Astyanax mexicanus: one gene and its partners. The protein of the gene in region 1 purifies or fractionates together with the protein of each later gene. This does not show direct contact. Links are inferred from orthologs where the notes say so. Each region holds a gene or a part of one and is shown in the gene's direction. Other genes may lie near its edges.

Evidence for each region. The genes of interacting proteins can lie anywhere in the genome.
Region 2: the proteins of slx4 (region 1) and rtel1 purify together in Homo sapiens (affinity purification with mass spectrometry; 3 studies listed by BioGRID, with this or other methods). This does not show direct contact. The link is inferred for Astyanax mexicanus from reciprocal best matches to the Homo sapiens genes SLX4 and RTEL1.
Region 3: the proteins of slx4 (region 1) and topbp1 purify together in Homo sapiens (affinity purification with mass spectrometry; 3 studies listed by BioGRID, with this or other methods). This does not show direct contact. The link is inferred for Astyanax mexicanus from reciprocal best matches to the Homo sapiens genes SLX4 and TOPBP1.

The regions. Positions count from the first base shown.
Region 1 is NW_026040046.1:1,762,959-1,770,347, forward strand, and holds the start of slx4 (structure-specific endonuclease subunit SLX4), read left to right. Parts: upstream 1-4,378; 5' UTR 4,379-4,763; coding exon 4,764-5,112; intron 5,113-5,561; coding exon 5,562-5,742; intron 5,743-6,273; coding exon 6,274-6,513; intron 6,514-7,389. UniProt on the Homo sapiens protein: Regulatory subunit that interacts with and increases the activity of different structure-specific endonucleases.
Region 2 is NC_064423.1:17,392,281-17,400,018, forward strand, and holds the start of rtel1 (regulator of telomere elongation helicase 1), read left to right. Parts: upstream 1-4,720; 5' UTR 4,721-4,898; coding exon 4,899-5,000; intron 5,001-6,347; coding exon 6,348-6,546; intron 6,547-7,074; coding exon 7,075-7,168; intron 7,169-7,386; coding exon 7,387-7,468; intron 7,469-7,598; coding exon 7,599-7,659; intron 7,660-7,738. Other genes in the region: txlng (gamma-taxilin), read right to left, coding at 450-541, 642-879, 3,289-3,339. UniProt on the Homo sapiens protein: A probable ATP-dependent DNA helicase implicated in telomere-length regulation, DNA repair and the maintenance of genomic stability. Acts as an anti-recombinase to counteract toxic recombination and limit crossover during meiosis.
Region 3 is NC_064408.1:103,079,256-103,086,750, forward strand, and holds the start of topbp1 (DNA topoisomerase 2-binding protein 1), read left to right. Parts: upstream 1-4,477; 5' UTR 4,478-4,580; exon of another isoform or gene 4,581-4,998; intron 4,999-5,931; 5' UTR 5,932-5,939; coding exon 5,940-6,026; intron 6,027-6,167; coding exon 6,168-6,302; intron 6,303-6,851; coding exon 6,852-6,995; intron 6,996-7,100; coding exon 7,101-7,282; intron 7,283-7,388; coding exon 7,389-7,495. Other genes in the region: prkag2a (5'-AMP-activated protein kinase subunit gamma-2a), read right to left, coding at 858-944. UniProt on the Homo sapiens protein: Scaffold protein that acts as a key protein-protein adapter in DNA replication and DNA repair. Composed of multiple BRCT domains, which specifically recognize and bind phosphorylated proteins, bringing proteins together into functional combinations.

The DNA.
Region 1 (7,389 bases):
AGTATGTACAATATGTAAAACTCGCGCTGATACATCACAGCTACAACAGGGAGAGAGGAGGGGGAGGGCTCCCTCTAGCGGAAATGAAAATGATAAAAATTAAACTTTCATATATTTTAGATTCACCAACTGCACACCAACTGAAATATTTCAGGTCTTTTATTGTTTTAATACTGATGATTTCGGCATACAGCTCATGAAAACCCCAAATTCCTATCTCACAAAATGAGCATATCATAAAAAGGTTATCTAAACGAGCTATTAACCTAATCATCTGAATCAACGAATTAACCCTAAACACCTGCAAAAGATTCCTGAGGCTTTTAAAAACTCCCAGCCTGGTTCATTACTAAAAACTGCCGACCTGACTGCTGTCCAGAAGGCCATCACTGACGCCCTCAAGCAAAAGGGTAAGACACAGAAAGAGATTTCTGAACGAATAGTCTGTTCCCAGAGTGCTGTATAAAGGCAACTCAGTGGGAAGTCTGTGGGAAGGAAAAGTGTGGCAAAAAACGCTGCACAACGAGAAGAGGTGAGCGGACCCTGAGGAAGATTGTGGAGAAGAGTCGATTCCAGACCTTGGGGACCTGCGGAAGCAGTGGACTGAGTCTGGAGTAGAAACATCCAGAGCCACCGTGCACAGGCGTGTGCAGGAAATGGGCTACAGGTGCTGCATTCCCCAGATCAAGACACTTTTGAACCAGAAACAGCGGCAGAAGCGCCTGGACTACAGAGAAGCAGCTGTTGCTCAGTGCTCCAAAGTACCAGAGTAATTAAGGTGCCAGAGTCTGGAGGAAGACTGGGGAGAAGGAAATGCCAAAATGCCTGAAGCCCAGTGTCAAGTACCCACAGTCAGTGATGGTGTGGGGTGCCATGTCAGCTGCTGGTGTTGGTCCACTGTGTTTTATCAAGGGCAGGGTCAATGCAGCTATCAGGAGATTTTGGAGCACTTCATGCTTCCATCTGCTGAGATCAAGAATTAATTTTTCAGCAGGACCTGGCACCTGCTCACAGGGCCAAAACCACTGGTAAATGGTATTACTGTGCTCAATTGGCCTGCTAACACTCCTGACCTGAAGCCCATAGAGAATCTGTGGGATATTGTGAAGAGAAAGTTGAGAGACGTGAGACTCGACACTCTGGATGAGCTTAACGCCGCTATAGAAGCATCCTGGGCCTCCAGAACACCTCAGCTGTGCCACAGGCTGATTGCATAACTGAACATATCTATTTGAAGGTTGACTTTTTTTGTTTTAAAAACACTTTTCTTTTATTGGTCGGATGAAATAGGCTAATTTTTTCTTTACTTTTTTGCCAAAATCATCAATATTAAAACAATAAAAGGCTTGAACTACTTCAGTTGTGTGTAATGAATCTAAAATATATGAAAGTCTAATGTTTATCAGTACATTACAGAAAATAATGAACTTTATCACAATAAGCTAATTTTTTGAGAAGGACCTGTAGAATCTCAAACAGGAAACAGGAAAAACTCCATAGCTTAGACTGTCCCATTTCAGTAGAGCCGCTGCAGCCTACCCATCCTACGAAGGACACACTTTCGTAGACCGCGTCCTTAGAAGGATACAGCCCCTGAATTGGGACACACCTATAGTCACACATGACGATTGATTGCTGATCATTTTGGAAGATAGAGCTGTGGACTGATGACACTAAAAGTGTTGGAAAAGAACACAACATTCCAAGAACAACACTCTACTGCTCCTCACAGTAAAACGTGGTGGTGGTTCATCGTGCTGTGGGGCTGTGTGATCAGTGCAGCTACTGAGAATCTTGTTAAAGTTTAGAGTCTCATGGATTTCAGTCAATATCAGCAGATTCCTGAGAACTGTGTTTAATCAGTGAGAAAGTTGAAGTTGCGCTGGGGCTGGATACTTTAACAAGACAACTATGCCAAGGGTGTAGGAGCGGGCTTGATATTGGGGGGGGACACATTTGCCAATATGAACCCAAGCCCACCCTATAGTTTCCTAGAACAACATTTGTGGAAATACTTTTAATTAAAAGTAAATTATTATTATAAGGTGATTTTACAACCTTAACATGTTACTCAGTGTAACAGTAACGTTACAGTTACTGTTGTTAGAAAAATTATGCATGCAATGACTGAATTATATACATATGACAAAAATGTTCAGTTATCACCTAATATTTAAAATAATATAACAGATTTGTTTATTATTATTATTATTATTATTATTATTATTATTATTATTATGTATTGGCATGTCAATTCTGTTGTATATTTAAATTTTCTCCTGTGCTTTTATTTATCTACTGAGAGCTCTTCTTAAGATGGTGACATTTTATGTAAAAGAATGTAACTTTACGTTTCATAGAGATTTTTATAAACGTCAGGACATGTGGTCTTACTGTGAACTACAAATGAACAGAAGTCACGTTACAGCAGTGTTTCTCAACCCTGTTCTTACATATTCTACTGAATATTAACACTGTTCTGCATATCAGAGCTTCCTCTGCTTTAAAGGAACTTAATAAAGTAAGTGGTGGTATGATGTGTCTAAAACACTGCTAATATACATGATTAATACAGGCTCCATAGTGGGCTTAAAGATTTTAACAGGTAAACTCAGTAAATGACTGTTTATTAGCTGATCAGCTGGACCAGGTGGAAAACACAGTTTTGGGGCAGTGATCGGGGTTAAGAAACTGCTTTAAACTACAAACATAAAGTACTTTATTAAATTCTGACTATCTACTACATGCAGCTTCTAGATTACTAGTTAGTTAAATTACATTTCTTTCATTATAGCTCACAGTATATCCTGTAATCCTAAATTAATAAACACAGTTGGAAAATGTAATAATGATTAGCTGATCAGGTACAGGGCAAGTTGAACATTACATATATATATATTTTTTTTTCTTTAACCTTGACTCCCACTCTAACTAATTCCAAATTTAAGATAACTGACTCACACAGCTGCAGTTTATTAATCACTGTGGGTTTACAGTTGACATGATTAGCTCCGTTACCTTTCTGTTAGAAAAATCTCCGTATATCCAGATCTGTTTTAAAATCAGCTGAAGCTGCTGCAGCCCGATCCCGCTGCTAAATCTCACAGCCAGGGAGGGGCTTCCCCCGTCAGCAAGCTGATTGGCTGTTTCTACTGGGAGGCGGGACTTAATACCTGAACCGGCTCCGTGATCGGTCTGTCTCCTCATTAATAGTACAGCTGAGCTGAGCGAAACAATATCATTTTGGGGGGGACAAATCCACCTGTTTCTAATATTGTCAATTCACAAATTTATGCACTTGCCTTATTTTGTTTAAAGAATTATTGCACACTTTCTATAAATCTTATAAACTTAATTTCACTTCTCAAATATCACTATGTTCATCTGATATATGATATATTTAACTGAAATTACCGATCTGACAAATTATCAGGGGTGCCCAAACTTTTTCATACCCCTGTAGCTACTATCTTGTACGCTCCTGTGAGTGTCTTTAGGTCTAAACATTTAAAATAATACAAACAATAACCTCACCTGGTCCCTCAACATCAGCACCATAACCAAGAAAACCCAGCAGGACCTCCACTTCCAGCAAAGACTGAGAAAAGCACATCTTCCACCTCCCATCATTACCAGAGGGAGTGTAGAAAGCATCTTAAGCACCTGCATTACCGTCTGGTTTGGGAACTGCAACACCTCAGACCTCAAGACCCTACAGCGGATAGTGAGCACAGCTGACAAGATCTGGCAGAAGAGACAGGAGCATCCGAGCCTCCACTACCAGACTCTGCAACCGCTTCATCCACCAGGCAGTCAGACTCCTCAGCACACAGAGACAGAGCTGAACCCACCCCCAACCACACACCCAACACACTCACACAGAACTGAACTGAATCTCCACCACTATTCACACACACATACAAGAACTGTAGTAAACCCACCCAACACTCTTCACACACACACAGGGACTGAAATGACACCCCATCACTCCTCATACACTTACACACACACAAAACAAAACTGTATCAGACCCCCGCCCCACAGATTTGCAATCTGGTATGTCTGCTATAATATTCGTTGTTCCATGTACCATGGTTCCATAAGAACATAAATATTGTGTTGAAGAAATTAGTACATTTTTCAGAATGAAAATGATTAAACACATATATTAAGCACATATATAAAATCTGATTGTGCTGAAATGCATTTATCACTCAGGATCGTGCGTATACTGGTGGTTCAACAAACCCCTAAAAGATTCTTTTATGGGTATTTCTCTTTGTTTGAGATTATTTCCTGCCATAAACAGCAGCGTGTGTTTGTAGATGAACTAACTACAAATCCCACAAGCCCCTGCGCAACCCGGCGTGAGCGCGAATACGTCACTGTACGTGGGAGAGGCGGTTGTGGTGGAGAATTTTGAACGTAGGTTAGCTAGAGGCTAGCAGGCTAACTAGACTGATTTAGAGAGATTAAAACACGGCTTTTAGACTAAAAACAGCCACCGCTTTCAGTGCGGTTAGTGTAGTCCCACCCACACGAGATGTTAGTGGGGTTTAATGTGATTTCTGTGAAGAAATATAGCTAAAGTAGTTGTTAGCTGGAGTTGTTGTGGTAAGGAGCTGATAGCTGATAGAGACACTGGGTAACGTTAGTTAAACGTTACTTGGTTGGTTGGTTAGGACAGTAAACTGAAGAAGCTACTGGTCACCATGCTGATCTGATCCGAACCTCTGGGAGATGTTGTTCTCTACCTGGCGGCCATGGACGACTCGGACCAGGAGTTCTCTGATCTCTGCTCTCGGCTCCTCAAGAGGGTGAAACGGAAAGATTCTGGGGATGAGAAGAAACCAGTCGCAGCTCCAGATGAAGCTGCAGGTCCCTCTCAGAGCAGAGCTCCCCCCAGGAGGAAGAGGCAGAAGAACGGGCAGCTCCAGAGCCAGGCAGCGGGCAGGTCGCAGCCTGTCTGTCCGGCAGATGGAGCCTCCTTTCTCAGCGTGAAGGAGAAGGTGCTCCGGAGGATGGAGCGCTTTAGGAGAGAGAGTCCTCCCCGGCTTCTCCATGTGGAGGCAGAGGAACATCGGGGGGAGACAGTATCACCACCCAGACGAGGTAGTAATACACTCACAATCATCTGTTATGTTCTACAGTATGTGACTTTCTACTGTATGATGGTTCCCTGCTCATAAGCAGCTTCTGCTGGTCTACACTGGTCTTTGATGGTAAAGGTACTTGAAAAGCTGGTGATCCAGGTGGAAATAGCTACACTGTACTGGCGAACTTGCTGGTTAACCAGTTGTTGACTAGCGTTGTGTATGTTAAATGTGGTCACGATTGGATATGCTGGCATGCATGTTGGTCATACTGATCAGCAGCCTTGGTCATGCAGGTGTAACAGTTAACATTTTTATGTAAAAAATAGCTCTGCAAAGCTGAACAACTATATGGAAACAATATGGTGATGCCAACTATTTCGTAACTATTAAATCTTGTTGCAACTTGTATTGCTGGTGGAAGAGCATCTACTAAATGCCATACATTTAAATATTTGTGTTTGTCAGAGCTCAAAGAAGAAACTGAAAGTGATGAAGCACTGGCTCGGAGGCTCCAGCAGCAGCTGGATCATGAGGCTGAGACCCAGGCTGTGGTGGACACAGAGGGTAAAGGCTTGTTCTTGTGCCAGCTCTGCTACAAAGACCTGTCAGCTATGAGCCCTCAGCTACGCACTCAGCATATCAACAGGTACTGCAGCAGGCTAGCACTAACTACACTGAAACAATACTACTGTGGCAGATTCTTTAAACTGGCTACAACTGGTGATCCTCACTCGTCCAGGATGGCATACATATCTTAGATAAAGTCATATTCCTCCAGTGTACAGTGTACTCCAGTATAGTACACTACACAGCCAGATCATATTTGTAACAGGAGTCAATTATAATAATAATGCACTCCAAAGATCTCCATAAATCCAGGAGTAAAGTAAAATAAATTATACTGGACAGATATAATCTGTCTCTAGTAGACAAATTCGTACAGTGTGAATTCCCTTTTCTTAAAAATAGCAAAAAGTGGTGATATTTCAGAGTATAATATCATTCACAATATTCAAATATGTTGGCGATATTATTGAGTATAATACAGCACACCCCTAATTGGCACAATATTACAAAACTCAATATTGTAATACTTTGCTAACAAATTGGTATTTTCCTTTGTTATCCCTGTGTGGCACAGCATACTCTTATGCTCTCCTTCATCTCCTTGATTCAGGTGTTTGGATGAGAGTGAGAGCTCCTCTGAAAAAATCTCTGAAGCTCCTGCTGCTCCTGCATCTGCACTCCAGCCTCGAGTTCCAGAGTGCCCAATTTGTGGGCGTGGCTTTAAGTCTGAAAAGAGTCGTTCCACTCACTTGAAGCGCTGCTCCGCCAGCATGGGCGTGTCTCCAGCTGAGCTTCTGCAGGCCTTGCAGAGACAGGCGTCTGAAAGTTTGAGCGATAGTGCGGCTGAGCAGTAAGTAGCTTCATATTTTTGTTTAAAATGGTATATGACCTCAATCACACACACACACATACCTGTGTATATGTATGTATGTGTGTATATATATGTGTGTGTGTGTGTGTGTGTGTATATATATGTATGTATATGTAGAGTTTTAATTTAACAGGGGAAACAGAAACTGATCAGGCTCTGTAAGTGGTTCTGGTGGTTTTCTCCTTCTGCTCTTGACTCCCAGTCGGCAACTGGACCACATATGTAGCATGCCAAATATTTGCCAGGTGTCTGCGACTCGTCAGCGATCACTTTGTGACGGCTCGGCGAGTGTCTTTCAGTATTTCACACCACACATCTAAGTGGACGCTGAGAGATTTCTACAACAAACGACTCACCGCTGTGCTTGCAAACAAAGGCTTTGCCACTAAGTGGATTCCACTCTCTCTTTTACAGCTCACATCAACTCTGTGGTGAAAACTGCATTCTTTCATCTGCGCAGAATAGCTAAAATTCCACGATCCGTTACTCAGTCCACTGCTGAAAAACTCCTTCATGCTTTCATTTCCAGCAGACTAGATTACTGTAACTCCTTGCTTGCTGGCATTAGTTCTTCCTCTATCCATAAACTCCAGATGGTACAAAACGCAGCTGCCCGTTTACTCACTCACACTCGCACCCATGAACACATTACACCTGTTCTCCAAAATCTTCACTGGCTCCCTGTTAAATACAGGATTCAATTCAAGATTCTCTTACTTACCTATAAGGCATTAAATAATCTTGCACCTCCTTATCTGTCAAACCTCCTTCTTCCTTACAGACCATCTCGATCCCTTAGGTCTGCTACTGCTGGACTTCTTAAAGTCCCAGCCTCTAAACTCCATGGCTTTGGTG
Region 2 (7,738 bases), on another chromosome or scaffold:
GTCATGCATTTCCTTAAATTTAAAAGGAGGCCACAGGTCAGTCGGTGCTGATGAGAAAACGACTGTCTAGACTTTTTTTTTTTTAAATAGGCATGGGGAAGGGTTTGGTTGCTGAATGCGTCATTGACAAAGCTGCACTGTGGCTCAAGTGCATCTCAACTGGATTTGTTGCTTTTTTAAAATGCTTCTTGGGTGTGTTTACACTTGCACTTGTTTGTCTCATGGCCTCATCCAGATAAAATTCTGATACTAGAGATAGATGAAGTGATCAGTTTAAACAGACTATGTGAACCCCACGTGGCACATGCCTGCCATTAATGTACAGTTGAACTCCCACCTTCTTAACTTGTCTATAAGGAACTTAGACATATTCTATAGTATCCAGTGTTGCGTATATTAAAACTCTACTAACAAACAGCAGCAGTATTTTAAAAGCCATAGACTCTTACCAGGTCAGCATACTTCTTGCAAAGAGCAGCAAGTTTCTCCTCTGGAGTTGCTAAGGTGTGAAGGGCTTGCATCAGTAACAGGACTTCTTTCCCTATCGCAACAAAATTGCAGTATTACATGTTTGATGTAAACTATTAATAAGAAAAACCAATCAGATTTTAGAAAAATCCAAGTTCTCAATCACCACCTACCAAACATGTTTTGCTCCTTGCTCTGATCACTGCTCTGGCCCAGTTCTCCTTCGAGGGGGTCAATTTGGAAATCTTCTCTCCCAGGTGTCTCCCCTCTTACTTCTTCAGTGCAGTTAACCAAATCTTTAAACTCCTCAAGATTATCTTGTGACGGAGGAGAGCTGCTGCCCTCCACAATTCCACGTGTCGCTGCCTCCATCCCACATACACCAGTGCTTTCCATGGTGTTCACCCCGTACTGATAGAGAAAGGGAAGAGAAACATTACTTTTGAGATGTTTTTGAAATATCAACTAGATCAAGGTATCAACTGTATTTTGTTGTTATTAACCCATGTCTGGTAATTTAATGGTCCATTCTAACCATTTTAAAAGTTGAATCTATGCTTAACAAAAGTTTTCCAAACATGGCCTTTACAAAGTTAAGAATAAAATAAAGTTCACTGCAGCAATACCATTAAAGGACACACGTATGGTTGCCTAATGAACAACTTATATGTGAAGTCACTATTTTTTGTTTAATTCATTTTCTCTTAGTGTACAAATAAATGACAGTGTTTGTAAACCTGCATTTTTCTCTTGGTTTGCTTTGACTGAAAGAAGCTCGCAGAGTAAAGTTCAGTAGACTTTTCATATTTTACACTTTTCCTTAATTGAAATACAAGGAGGTTATGTTTGTACAGTGTTTAATACAAAAGCTCCTGTAAAGGGGGCTGCTTACTATTTGTTTTAAAAACTGTAAAAAAAAAAAAAAAAAAAACAATAGTTGCTCATCACTTTAAATAGTGCTGTCAGTTTACAAATAAAACAACTTAAGTTTTGTAAGAACTAAAAATCTAAAATCTTATTCAAGATATAGCTCATATATTTGAAAAATATTGATATTATTAACTGATATAATAATAATTTATATATTATTATTTTGTATTTTATTTTATTTATTTATTTTTACAATATCGCCCAGCCATACCCCTGTATAGCAGTGTTGTTAAAACCCAATGTTATGACTGCATAAAGTAGTAAACTTTACTTGTACTCATATTTCTGTTTTTTAATCGAATGACAACATTCCTAACATTTTATTTAAACAATCACAATATAATCGCCATACATACGGTATGGCAATAAGCTGTGATATACCAAATACATTCATACAAAATCAAGTACATATGGCCAAGGGCTTGCCAATACACAGCCCCAATAAATTAATACAAAGTTTTGCTTTTTAAAATGTAATGACAGATAAGTGAAATTTCATGTAAATCAATGGGAACATATGAATAAATTATATACGTTCTACTAGTAACATGACTAGTCAGAATGGCTTAATAGACTTGAGATTGATCAGAGATGATTCGTAGTAGCTAAAAGTAATCAGATCTGAAATAGGAGTTTCTACTAGTAAAAAACTACATTACAGATATATGAGTTTAAACAGCTTGGTGTATAAAAAACAGTACAGTGAGCAGAGTGGGTCATGGGCAGAGGCACAGGGTTAGATTAGCCCACCACGTGCTGCACTGCAACAGCTCCAACAGCCACCACATGGGACAAATGACAAATAAGCCTGGGTAAATAGGAACTTAATGAGAAAGTGTAAAAAAAAAACATCTAAAATAATTAGTTAATCAACACGAAGCCGTCTAACATGTTTAAAGTGAAAGTAACTAGTTAGCTAGCTAGCATGCCAGTGACTGAGCAGTGCTGTCTGACAGATTAAAACCGAACCACCAAATACAGAAATAGAAAGCTGTTTAGAAATAGTTGGTTAGATGGGCTATACATATTTAAATTTCAGTAACTTACTAGCTACACGTCATGTAAACATACCAAAACCGTCTGGCTTAGCTAAATAGTTAGGTTACTTAGTTTAGCTTGTTTAAGGCGAACTTAATTTTGGAGCAAGTGCACGAGTATCTAGCGTCAGCTAACCAATAACCTGTTGGCTATAAAAATCAGTTATCGAGGTTCGTGTAACTTAGCTGAAATACTAAAAATGTGCTGTTAAATATACCTAAAAGCGCATTTAAAAAGAAACGCCAAACATCCACACCATCCAGACACTGCAGACTCAGCTATTTTACCTTTGTTTCTACGTCAAAAAACCTTCCCGAGGCCAGAGTGCGACTGAGATACAGGTTAGAGGAGCCGAGCTCACAAAGTTTGCGGGAAACAAATCTGAATCCACTGGCTGCAGAGCTAGTTTGCTAGCTAGCTTAGCTTCGAAGCTAATGTTTCACAAATGCGTAGATACATAACCTACATGGTTACAGTAGTAACCGTGATTAACTCTGAACATAGCCCACATGTCGCAGTCACCACGAATCAAACAGGGTTCACTTTAATACCGAAAACAACAGAGAGTCTCTCTCTCTGTTTCTCTGTGTGTATCTATCTGTAGCTCAGTTGTCCTGTATGATCCGCTAGCGGGCTAGATAGCCTGAGCTAAGCTAACCCAGGTTAGCTCGGCTACTTCCTCTGTAAATACTAATGCCTGTGCTGTGAGGAGTGAGGAGGACCCACACGCAGCGTTTTCACCTCTGTATTCCATTACATTCACAGATAAAAGCAACACATACAGAAACACTAACCATTAAAAACACGAGTAAACAAAACCAGCACAGCCCTGCTGTATTAAGAGACACATACCTGAATGTTTTCAGTGTTTAAATCGACCCTGGCGCCTGAGTAAGTCGCCATGTTGTGACGAAACACTGAACAGGAAAATAAAGCCACTGGACAGAGCAGCACCTCTTTTTACCTAAATGCAGTTTTTAACTTAGTATTATCTACCTGTAACTTCAGGGGATTTTACTAAAAAGTATATTCTTAGGAGTTATTTATGATGTTTAGGCTGTTGCCCAATCTTTCACCAATTGATAACCGTATAGTTATAATCCTTTTTTTCAGTTTTAAAGCAATAACAGGTCTAAAAGAATTTTATTCCAAAATTATATTGTTAAAGTTATTCAGTGGAAAAAAATCCACATTTTTGTCCACTTTCCACCCCTGCAGTTTTTTTTATCTCTTCCATCTTTTTTTCCACTGTCTTATATTTTTACTATTTAGAAATTTCATCCCACTTTTCTCCCATAGACTCCCATTAATTTCCCCCCAAGCCTTGTTCTTTTCTTTTGCCTGTCAGCTACTGAACTAGATCACATAGTACCTCTAGTCCATAGCAACACCTAGCAATCCTCAAACAACTTCTATTATTTATTGTATTTTTGTTTCAACACTTAAACACAGTTAAAGGTTTTTCATCCCACATCTCCTATAGACTCCTATAAATATATTATTTTTGCCCAAGCCCTTTCCCTGTTTTCCTTTTGCCCGAGAGCCACCAAAGTACATACAGCTCTGGAAAAAACACTTCAGTTTTTCTGATTTTGGTATCTATATGTTTGAGTAAAATGAACATTGTTGTATTACTCTATAAACTACGGACAACATTTCTAATTAAATAAAAGCATTGTCATTTAGAGCATTTATTTGCAGAAAATGAGAAATGGCTGAAATAACAAAAAAAGATGCAGAGCTTTCAGACAAACAAGTTCAAATTCATAAAGTTTTAAGAGTTCAGAAATCAATATTTAGTGGAATAACTCTGATTTTCAATCACAGCTTTCATGCATCTTGGCATGTTCTCCTCCACCAGTCTTACACACTGCTTTTGAATAACTTTATGTCACTCCTGGTGCAAACATTCAGGCAGTTCAGCTTGATTTGATGGCTGATCATCTAAGTTCTTCTTGATTATATTACAGAATTTTTTAATTTGGTAAAATCAAAGAAACGTATTCTTTTTAAATGGTCTCTTATTTTTTCCCAGAACTGTATATACTTCATCTAGTCCACAACCATACTAACTCACCCCTCTAACTTAGATTATTCCTTCATTAGACGTCTATTAATTTTTAGCCACACCGTAACAACGTAGTTATGTTATTTATTTGGTGTAATATTTTTGTATTTACTGAGTTACAGAATAATGAAAATAAAATAGTGATCAGTGTTTGTGCATTAGAGCAGTGTGACCTGTAGGGGGCAGGAGGAACGCATTTCGGCTTTTCGGCAGCTCGTAAAAGAAGACGGTGAAGAGCTGTGGCGCGCTGCGGGGATGTGTTGTTATGTAGTTGGGTAAAGTGAAGCTGCTGTTTATTTAATTATTAGAGGAGCTGATTAGTTGGGTCTGTCTATGCGCTTTATAGCCCAGTCCTCTGCTGTCTGTGTCGTGGTGTCCGCGGCGAGGCTGCAGGATGCCTGTTCTCTCTTTAAGAGGAGTTAATGTGGATTTCCCTTTCACTCCGTATCCATGTCAGACGGATTACATGAACAAAGTCATTGAATGCCTGCAAAGCGTGAGTGCCCTCTCTGCTCTTTTTAACTTGATATCTGTACTCGGGATCTGACATTGCATAACGTTAGCTGAATTGCGAAGTCTACGTCCCTCCCATTCCTGTCCCAGTAGCAGCTTTGTCCCATCTAAATCTTCATCACACATGTTAGTTATATCCTGTAGCATATACAAATATACTATTGCATATGTGGGAGTGGACCTAAAACCTTTAAATACTTTTCCCTGCTGAAAAACTAAGGCTGTCTCCCACTTAGATTGTTACTCCAGTGTTTCTTTTTCTCAAATCTAAAGTCATTCAATCTATGAAAAAAAGATAAACAAAAAAAGTGTTAAACAAACCAGAACAGGATTTATATTGTGGATTCTTTAAACTAGGAAACATTTGTTCAGATGACAGGTTTGCACATCTTTCCATTTTCTCAGTCAGCTTTAAGAGGTAGAGTCACATAGAATGGCTTTCAGTCAACAGCTGTGCTGAACTTGTCTAGAGTGCATTTCTTGAATTTTCTGCTTCTTAATGTGTTTGAAAGCATCAGTTGTGTTATGAAGAGGTAGAGTTGGTATAGAGTTAATAGCTCTATTTGAGTAATGTTGTACAATCAATATTATGGCAAGAACTACTCAACTAAGTAAAGAAATTCAATCAAAAAAAAATGAAAGAAATTAATATCTTCAAGTTTAGTCGCATAGACCATCAAAAACATTATGATGGAACTGGCTCTCATCAGGACCACCCCTGGTAAGGACGAGCAAGAGTTGCACAGGATAAGTTAATCAAACATACCAGCCCCAGAATCGCTAGTTAACAGAATTCCAGATGAGTCTTTTGATTTGTTTAACACTTTTTTTAAGTTACTACACGATTCCTTGCATGCTCCTTCACGGGAGGGTAAGAAGTTGTGTGCAAACATTTGAGAGGTACTGTAATGGGACTAAATATAAACCAACTTGTTTTGTCTATGGGTTCCATGCTGGCCACACACATGAATGTCAGTGATGTGACCAGGGGGGGTGTTAAACATGGGCTGGATCTTGGTTGTACCTTGCCATTGGGGGCCTATATGTGGACAGTATATTCAGGTAGTCAGCTGACCTTATTCTTTCAGCACATACTGTTGCTGAACCTAGACCTGACCAACTGCAGCATCAACCCCAGGTCATTTACTTAGTTAAATCCAGATGGCGACTTTTTTTTATTGTCCAGGGAGTGAATTTGTGCATAACAGAACATTGTGTTAGAAGAAAAAGAGGCTCTTTTGGCATTCAAACATGTAATCAACTTTCATGACTGAGTACATCCTGTACGAAACTGTGTCCACATTCTAAGTGTTCTGTTTTCCTGTATTAGAAGGTAAATGGAGTCCTTGAAAGTCCAACAGGTACAGGGAAAACCCTGTGTCTGCTTTGTGCGACTCTTGGCTGGAGGGAATACTTCAAGGACTCCATATCTGCTCGCAAGATTTCAGAGAAGATGGGAGGTGCCGAGCTTTTTCCTGACAGGCCCATGTCTTCATGGGGAACAGCAGCAACTGACGGAGACGTCCCAGGTTTGTAAAGGGAGGGCAAGATTTTTTTAATTATTTTTTTTGAGTCCAAGTTTGCTAACCATTCCTTAGTGCATTGATTTGGTGTCTAAAATAAAAAATAAAAATAGATAAAAGGATGGTTGGTATAGAATCGAGAATAACACTGCTGCCCTCCCTATGGTGGAATGTGATTCAGTTAGCTGCTTGGGGATGAAGTGGTGCTGGACTGCACATTTTACTGTTTTACACCAGCATACCTGATCTAATAATCAGGGACCAGTTTCATTCCAATTACATTAATTAACATGTCCTAATTAAGCCAGGATTACTCTTAAGTGTGCAGGATGGGGGATAATTCAGAATCAGAGGTACAAACTCTATAAATACAGGCAAGATGTCTAACGCTACATTTGTGAAAATGTTTAAGTGTCTGGCAAATGCCATCAATATATCTAAATATCCTGAGGATTATTAATATTAAATAAGAATGCACGTTGGTTAATAATATCGGAATCCTTAAAACATATTTTGTGTGTGTTTTCTGAGCAGCATATTACACAGATATACCCAAAATCATCTATGCATCCAGAACACATTCTCAGTTAACGCAAGTCGTCAGTGAGCTGAAGAACACAGCTTACAGGTCAGTGCCTTGAAGGTTGTATGGATCTTGTTCTCAACAGCTTTTAAACAAAAGCAATTTTGTTGGAGTATTTTTTTCCTTTTAAAGAATCAAACAGCAATACATTTCCAACCATTTTAATCTGGACCTGCTATGCATTTTTGTTAAAAAGGACATAATCTATAATCATCTAATCTAATCATACTCTTTTTAAAACATTTTGTTAATCTTATTGATAGGCCAAAGGTTTGTGTTCTGGGGTCCAGAGAACAACTTTGCATCAACCAAGAAATAATGAAGCAGGAAAGCAACCACATCAAGGTATATGTATAACAACGTATCATAAGTAACTTGGAATTCAATAAAAAAATAAAATTAGATCACTGCTTTGGTACTGTAGTGAAATATTGTCTTAATATAACTTCCATTGCATTTGATAATGCTATTTCAGGTCCACATGTGCCGAGCCAAAGTTTCGACCCGCTCATGTCTCTTCTATAACAATGTTGATGGTATGAACTGTTTGTTATTGTGGGTCAATAGGTAGAAACTTTTTTTTTCAAACCGTATAATCTTACCTGACTACCTGTA
Region 3 (7,495 bases), on another chromosome or scaffold:
GTCATGTCTTCCGCTTAGGCGTCATGTCATGTCTTTACCCCTTTTTCCCGTTGTCCTCCCATATTAGTATTTTCCCATAAATTTCCTGTATTATATTACAATAAAAAAAAAAAACTCCTGTGCTTCTCCAAACTGAAATGTCACTAATCTCACAAGAACTGCCACCCAGTGTGAAAAGTGTTTTTGGCCAGACAGTGTATTTAATCAACATTTACATTAACAATTTTGAACAAAATGTCTCTGCCGTAAAACCAGCATTATATTCACTTTATACAAAGTTCTATTGCTATTTGGTTTGTAGTCTAATTGCCTTATTTTCTGTTTTTTTTTCTTGTTCAGTTAGACAAATTGTAGACTGTTTTAGGCTTGAACAAGTGCAGTGAAGTCCAGTTCAGTGTCTGAGGTGGATATGTGAAGGGCTGGGTATGGAAAGGATGGAATAAGGCTGAGTGTGGCATGGTAATTTGTAAAAACTTTACCAAGTTTTTCCTGTGCTGTCTCTATTTTTTGTGCATGCTCTGTACAAGTTTAATTTGAAAAAAAAAATGTCTACTACACTTACATTACTAATATTGTTTTGGGTGCTAGTCAATAATTTAGAAGCTAGGTAGGTTCATAGTTTATAGTTACTATGAACTACTAGCCAATCACCTTGCGAGGGGCGGAGCTTGCACGAATACGGGTGGGGAAAGCACGGAGCGCGGTGGAATGTAGGTGTTATATATGCCGCGCGCTTCACCGAGCCCCACCCACATGCTGGAACTGCGCTGCAGAGCTGCGCTGTGATTGGCTGGCGGTGTGGATCAAACGCTCATCACTAAAACAATGTCCGTGAACGAGTGACCGCTCTGACTTACCGGCATGTTTAAGCGCAGGGTCCTCCTCTTTCGGGTACTTTTCTTCCCCCCGTCTTTAGTCTTAGAGTCCATAGCAGTGCTCCCCATGTTAAAATCCTATAGAGAGATATTACCTTCCAGCAGTGAGAGAAATAAACTCAACAAAACTCAGAATTAACGCAGGGTACACCTCACACAGCGACAAAAAACAGCGGTGAAATCTAATTAATCTAATTCTGTCGCTGCAGAACTTTATCGCTGATAATCAATTCATCTCAAAGCTCCTCCAGTGAAAAAAAACAACAAAACAAAGCAGAAAAAAGCATCCTGAACATAAAAACGCAGAACTGCTCTGTCTACACGAGGCTACAGCACCGCGTGCTTTATCTACAGAATGAATAAAACACTACTCCACCGCTGGAGCAGCTTCACACTGTAACCTGCTGCTGCAGCTCCATGCCGGTCAGAAACACTGAGGCGCGCCCCCGTCTCTGGCACAGGAGCGCGCAAAGGGCGGATGGGCTTTAAAGGACGCACGCGCGTCACATGGGGGGGCTATGAGGTGTGTAAGCACGTCGATGAACACGAGTGTGAATCTAGAGACAGTAAACTATAACCAGAGTTCAGGTTCAGGTCTCCCGTTAGTCAGTGTTATCATGCAGCTTAGCCTAGATGCTGCTGTGTATCAAATTAAGTCATGAGCTGAGTATAAATTTAGCTAAAATATTATTGATTGTAAGATGAGTATGAAAACATATATACAGTACCAGTCAAAAGTTTGAACACACCTTTAAATTAAGTGTTTTTTAATTATTCATAACATTGTTTTCTTTGTAGATTAATACTAAAGTTATCCAAACTATGAAGAAAAAACAAATAAAATAATTTAGTAAACAATAAACAGAAAATGTGTTAAACAAACCAGAATATGTTTTATACTTTAAATACTTCAAAGTAGGCACCTCTTGCTTAGATAACAGATTTGCACATCTTTTCAGTCAGATTTCTCAGGTAGTCACATGGAATGGCTTTAAGTTGTGCCTTGTCAAAAGTTAATTACTCAAATTTCTTCCCCTCTTAATATGTTTGAAAGCATTAGTTGTGTTGTGAGGAGTTAGAGTTAGGGAAATGCCCTATTTGAATCAAAAGTCGAAGGTTTTGGGTTAGCATGGAATGTACGAGGCATTCTACAACTGGTAGCTGGTTGAAGAGCTCGAAGTCACACTTTTCTACTTCATCTTTGCTAGATATGTATAAGTCTTTTTTATGACTCTTGGAACACAAACCAAGTATTTTGACGTATTACCTTCCATGGTATGTACACAATTTTGTCAGAATTCAGTGGGGGAGGGTGTAATGGAGTTAAACAGACATAACTAAAAGGAATTATATAAAATATTATGTTCTTTGAAATGATTTCTTACAAAATTATCATATTATACATTATTCTACTGTTCCCTGCACTAACAATGCAACTGCATGTTTTTTTGTTTGTTTTATGTTTTGTTTTCATTTATCTTCAAAGGAGCTTTCATATGATGCTGGAGGTAAGCATAGCAGATAAGCTCTGTGAATAAGTGGTATTTTACAAGGATATATGTTATTTTGAGACAAGTTAATGGAAAAATTAGTTTTCATATCAGTTCTAGTCACCTCTATGTATTTTTAGCGGATATTGGTGAATATTTTGTCCCATATAGAATTATTTCTGCCCAGGTTCAGTTTAAAGCATCAGGCTATGACAGTTTTGGTGCCAAATGCTACATGTTGGAGAATAAGCCTGTTTCTTACACTTAGAGGTTCATGTGCAGTTGCAGAAGCATAATAAGGACCAAATGGATTATTTGTGTGATATGTTGTGGTCGTGTTTATCATAAACTAAGTGTATTTTCTGTCATGTTATAAAAAACGTATGAACATTTTTTAATCACGTATAATAAATGCTAATATTAAGCTATGAGTTTTATTTATTTTTTGCAGAAATTTGTGTGTATCAAAACAGAGCTGTTTTACAGACTGTTCATGTAAATGTTTATTAGTAGCCCCAGAGGAGCTTGCATATAATGCAGGAGAGAACCATATGCAGTTGCAGAAGCATGATAATCACCAAAGGGATTATCTGTGTTTATGTGCAAGCTCAAGAAAGGCCAGAGAAAAAAACAAGACATCCTGCCTCCACCAGTCCTTTCTATCTAGTTTCATCCTGGGTGTACATGTTCTACATAGCCACACTGAGGTCAAAACTGCCCTACTAATTCTACAGGCAAGCAGTCACATAAATGCCTAAATTATCAAACCGTTTTTATTCAACTGCACCCCTCACATCAAAGAAAACTGTGTAAAATGTATAATAAGTCCTTTAAAGTGAAGTTTAATATTCCTCTATATGTGTGTTAATGTGTTCAGAGTAAACGCTGATAAATTAATTGTTACATAGTATTTGAATGAAATTGAAACAGCTATGCTATAAGTAATATTGTTATTGATGCTGCTAATCAGCTTTATACTGTTACTGTATTAAACTGCAGGCTTTTCTAATGTTTTTTGTGTGATTCATGTGATAACCAGGATATGTTCATTTAGCTTAAATGCTGCATGGTTTGGGTATACTGAACATTTCAGAAAACTCTGTACAGCGACACAACATTTACCACCTTCAACACCTGTGTAAATATTGTAACAGCTACAATATTATAAAAAAAGACTCTATGTCTAGTGTCTAGTGGTTTAATGGTAATAACTAACTAACTAACTGTAAAATAGTTGATGAAATTAAATGATTTAATGTTGATTAATACATTACTGTAGAAAATATATGTAAATCTACAGCAGATTTAACATTTTTTAATAAAATAAACCGTTCTGTAGTCTTGCTTTATCGAAAAAGTACATTTTGGTGAATAAGCGCATTCATCTTCTTTATCACTGCTTTCTAAGGTATAGTTGGCGAGCTGTGAATTTGAACATCTGTAGTAAAATTATCCTAAATATAGCGACATATTATTATATTAATTTATATTCATTCAACATTTAAATTTTAGGAGATTTCAATATTATTGTACATCTAATGTACGTTTAGCTAGCTAAACTAGCCAGCTAAAATAGCTAAATATATTAGTGGGTATTAACATTAGTTAAGTTAGCTAGTTGTCAAACTAGTAGTTAAATTGAGGTATGCTGGTAAAAGGCTGTGGAAATTCCGTTTCTGATAGTATTCCGTTTTCCAGGTTTTTATCTGCCTAAACCGGTCCTATTTAACATCAAATGTTTTGTGGATTTCTTTTTTTTTTCAAGTGACATTTTGTGTCATTCTGTTTTTAGAGATTATTTGTTCAAATATTCACTAATAAATTCTAGATTTTAAACAATGGGCCTGACCGTACCATTATACTGAGAATTGGTGTCCATGTTGTTTTTGACCACAAAGTGTATTTTGGCATAATTGGGTATCTATATCTTTTGTAAAGCTGGAATATAAAATCATATGATTAGGGTTGTTTGTGAGTCCCTGTTGATGCATCACGGGGGTCGCAAACTCACAATTATTACATTGAATGTCAGAAGAAACGTTCAAGAAGAGTCTACAAACTTCAGAACATCAGATATAACCTCCAATGTTTGTAATTTACCTCTGAAACAGCGGCTGTGTGTTTCAGCTCCGCGTCGTCCGGGGGCGGTAAATCCAGAGCAGTGGATCTGCTGAAAACAACAACAGCTCCGAGTAGAAGAACTGCCGGACGTTTTGTAAGTTGACTGGATGGCGCGAAGGCTCCTCCGTCAGGCTGTAGAGAGATAACGAAGCGTTTAGAGTTGGGGATTCGTCTCTATTCGCCTGTTTTATCCGTTAATATCTGTGTGCTGTGGGGATGAGTAGTTCAGCGGTAACGGCTCTGCTGACTGGAGGACTACAGGAGCTCGAGCTCTCTCTGAGGAAACATCATTAGATAATGATATTTCAGCAAAACTGAGGCGTTTAGCAGCTGGTATCCGTCTGTTTGCTGGCTGAACCTAAACTACAATGTTCAGTTTCAGATTACTTAGATAATAAGCTCGTTAGCTAGTTAACTAGCTATCTATTTAGCTAGTTAGTGGATCTGACTGCTGATCCAGTGAAAGCTGGTGACCGTTGCTAAGCTAGCTTTAGCTAGTAACCTAATTTAAGGTAAGCTAAGTTTACTTTGCTAACTATGTTAACAGTTTAGACCTGACTGACACTAATGAACCTAAGTGTTAACTTTAATTAACACGTATTTCTTATGACATTTTGGACATAAATGTGAAATGCAAAAAAGCTCTGTAGAATCTGTACTCTTCATGCTAGCCTGCTTACTGCTAGCTAACCTATAAACAATTGATACTAAATAGCTGAATATGTAACTTAGCTAGGTGAGCTAACTAGGTTAACTAGCTAACGCTAACTATCTGTTGTGTATTTAATATATTTTTATAGTAACCTAGCAAGACTTCTTGCCTAATAACAGCTAATTAGTTAGTTTGGTTAGCTAGTTAACTAAGTGAAAAAAGTTTAATACTGCATGATTTATAGCTGCTGGACCTGTTGCGATGTGACAGTGCTCCATAACATAGGCCACAGTTTAAAACCTAGGTGTAGTCACCTAGAATGGCTTGTCAACAATTTCAGACATTCAGTAGAAACAAAACAAAATAAATCTGAAACCTTTGTATATTTTGTAAACATCAGTAACTTACTAAGAAACGAAAACTAATTTTAAAAGGTTTTCAAGACAGAAAACCCCTATTGTCATGGATTTTTATTATTTACAATTTTATTCTGGCATGATATCTTGTTTACAATATTATAAGGTCAAATATTATAAGGCACACCTCTACTCCAAATGTTAATGTTTCTACCTTGATATTTTAGGGATCCTGTAATGAATAGACCAGTATAAATGGTGGAATAAAATATTTTACTTTATGTACGATAAAAGTTAGTTACTTTATTTTGAAGCAACAAGTTATCTTTTGTATGGAATTGAGATACATTAGTCAAGTTATCAGTGAGATCTTGTTGTTCTGTGAGATCTTTTTGAAATGTAGTAATTCAGTATTTTCTTTTTTTTTTAAACAATAGAAGCCAGAATGTCCAAAAGGAGCCAGGATGCTTTTATGGTAAAGTTTGTTGAACACAATGGGCAGAAACGTGAGCTTGGTCAAAAAGCTTATGAGGTACAGTAAATATTCATCATAATGGAAACCAAATGTTTCTGACAAACTATTAGTCCTCCACTAATAACATGGTTATTGAATACCCTATAACTGCTGGCATTATATCATTAAAATATATATTTTTCTTTTTTGTATGTTAAGGCGATAGTGGAATTGCAGTCAGAGAAATATGTGCAGACCATTGGTGAAGAAGCAGCCCTGAAGTTGGATCACAATGACAAATCCTTATATGTTTTCAGCGACTTTACCAGCAGTGCATTTGAGCACTGTCGAAAGGTATGTTCAAAAATATTACCCCCCAAACGATAGCTTATGGATACAAATGATATGGAATGTCTATTAGATGGAGCAGCTAACATATACACTAAAGTTCAAACATTTTTTTTTTTTACTAAGCAATAAAGCTCTGTTGCAGCTCTATGAATGCAGTACTAAGATTTAATTCTTTGTTATTAACTCTTATCTTTTTCCTCACGTTTGAAAGATCCTTTATGTAACTATGATGTATTTTGGAGGGACACAATTTAGTTGTGTTTAAAATACAATACAATATACTGCAAATGTACAAAACGATATTGTGATATTTTTCATCACTGCATACAAATAAAAACAATGTTACATTTGTAATCTGTTATGTATATTTATGAATAAAATTAGTTACCTAGATTTATGTTCTGAATTTGTCTTTCATTCAAAATTATTTTGTCTTCCACAAGTAGTGCTATTTCTACATGGTCACTAGCATCATATATAACGCTACTGGCATGACACTGCTGGTAGTCTGTCTTTATACCTGTTCTGTGTTTTTCCCTGTGTGCACTACAGTTGGGATGCAGGATAGTCAGTCCTCTGGTAGTGCTTTTTTGTCTGCAGCAGCAGAGGTGTGTGCCCAAGGCAGAGCAACCTGTCTACAACATGGCCATGGCTGATGTGACAGTGACCTGTACCAGCCTGGACAAAGAAGTACGGGTAAGCAATGAACCAAATTCACAAGCTGGGTCAAATATGTCTTTAACATAAGTAGTAATTAGAATCTAACGAAATGTTTACACCACATTTGTGTCTGTCCTGTAGACAGACGTCATGGACTTGGTTCAGCTCATGGGAGGAAGGGTTTACAGAGACCTTAATGTATCAGTCACTCACCTGGTGGCAGGTGAAGTGGGCAGTAAGAAATATCTTGTGGCAGCCAACCTGGGGAAACCTGTCTTACTGCCCACCTGGGTGAAGGCATGCTGGGAAAAGTCTCAAGACAGGTAGGACTCTATTCGTCTTCATGCTTTTATGACCTGTATAAACTCAAAAACTCACCTCAAAAGGCGGTAAACATTTTGGTTCTCTTGTTTTTCTTCTTTTCCTCAGTATGTTTCGGTATTCAGACCTGCGTGTAGAGGACTACCTTTGTCCTGTCTTTAAAGGCTGCACAGTATGTGTAACTGGTCTGTCCACAGTGGAGCGCAAAGAGGTGC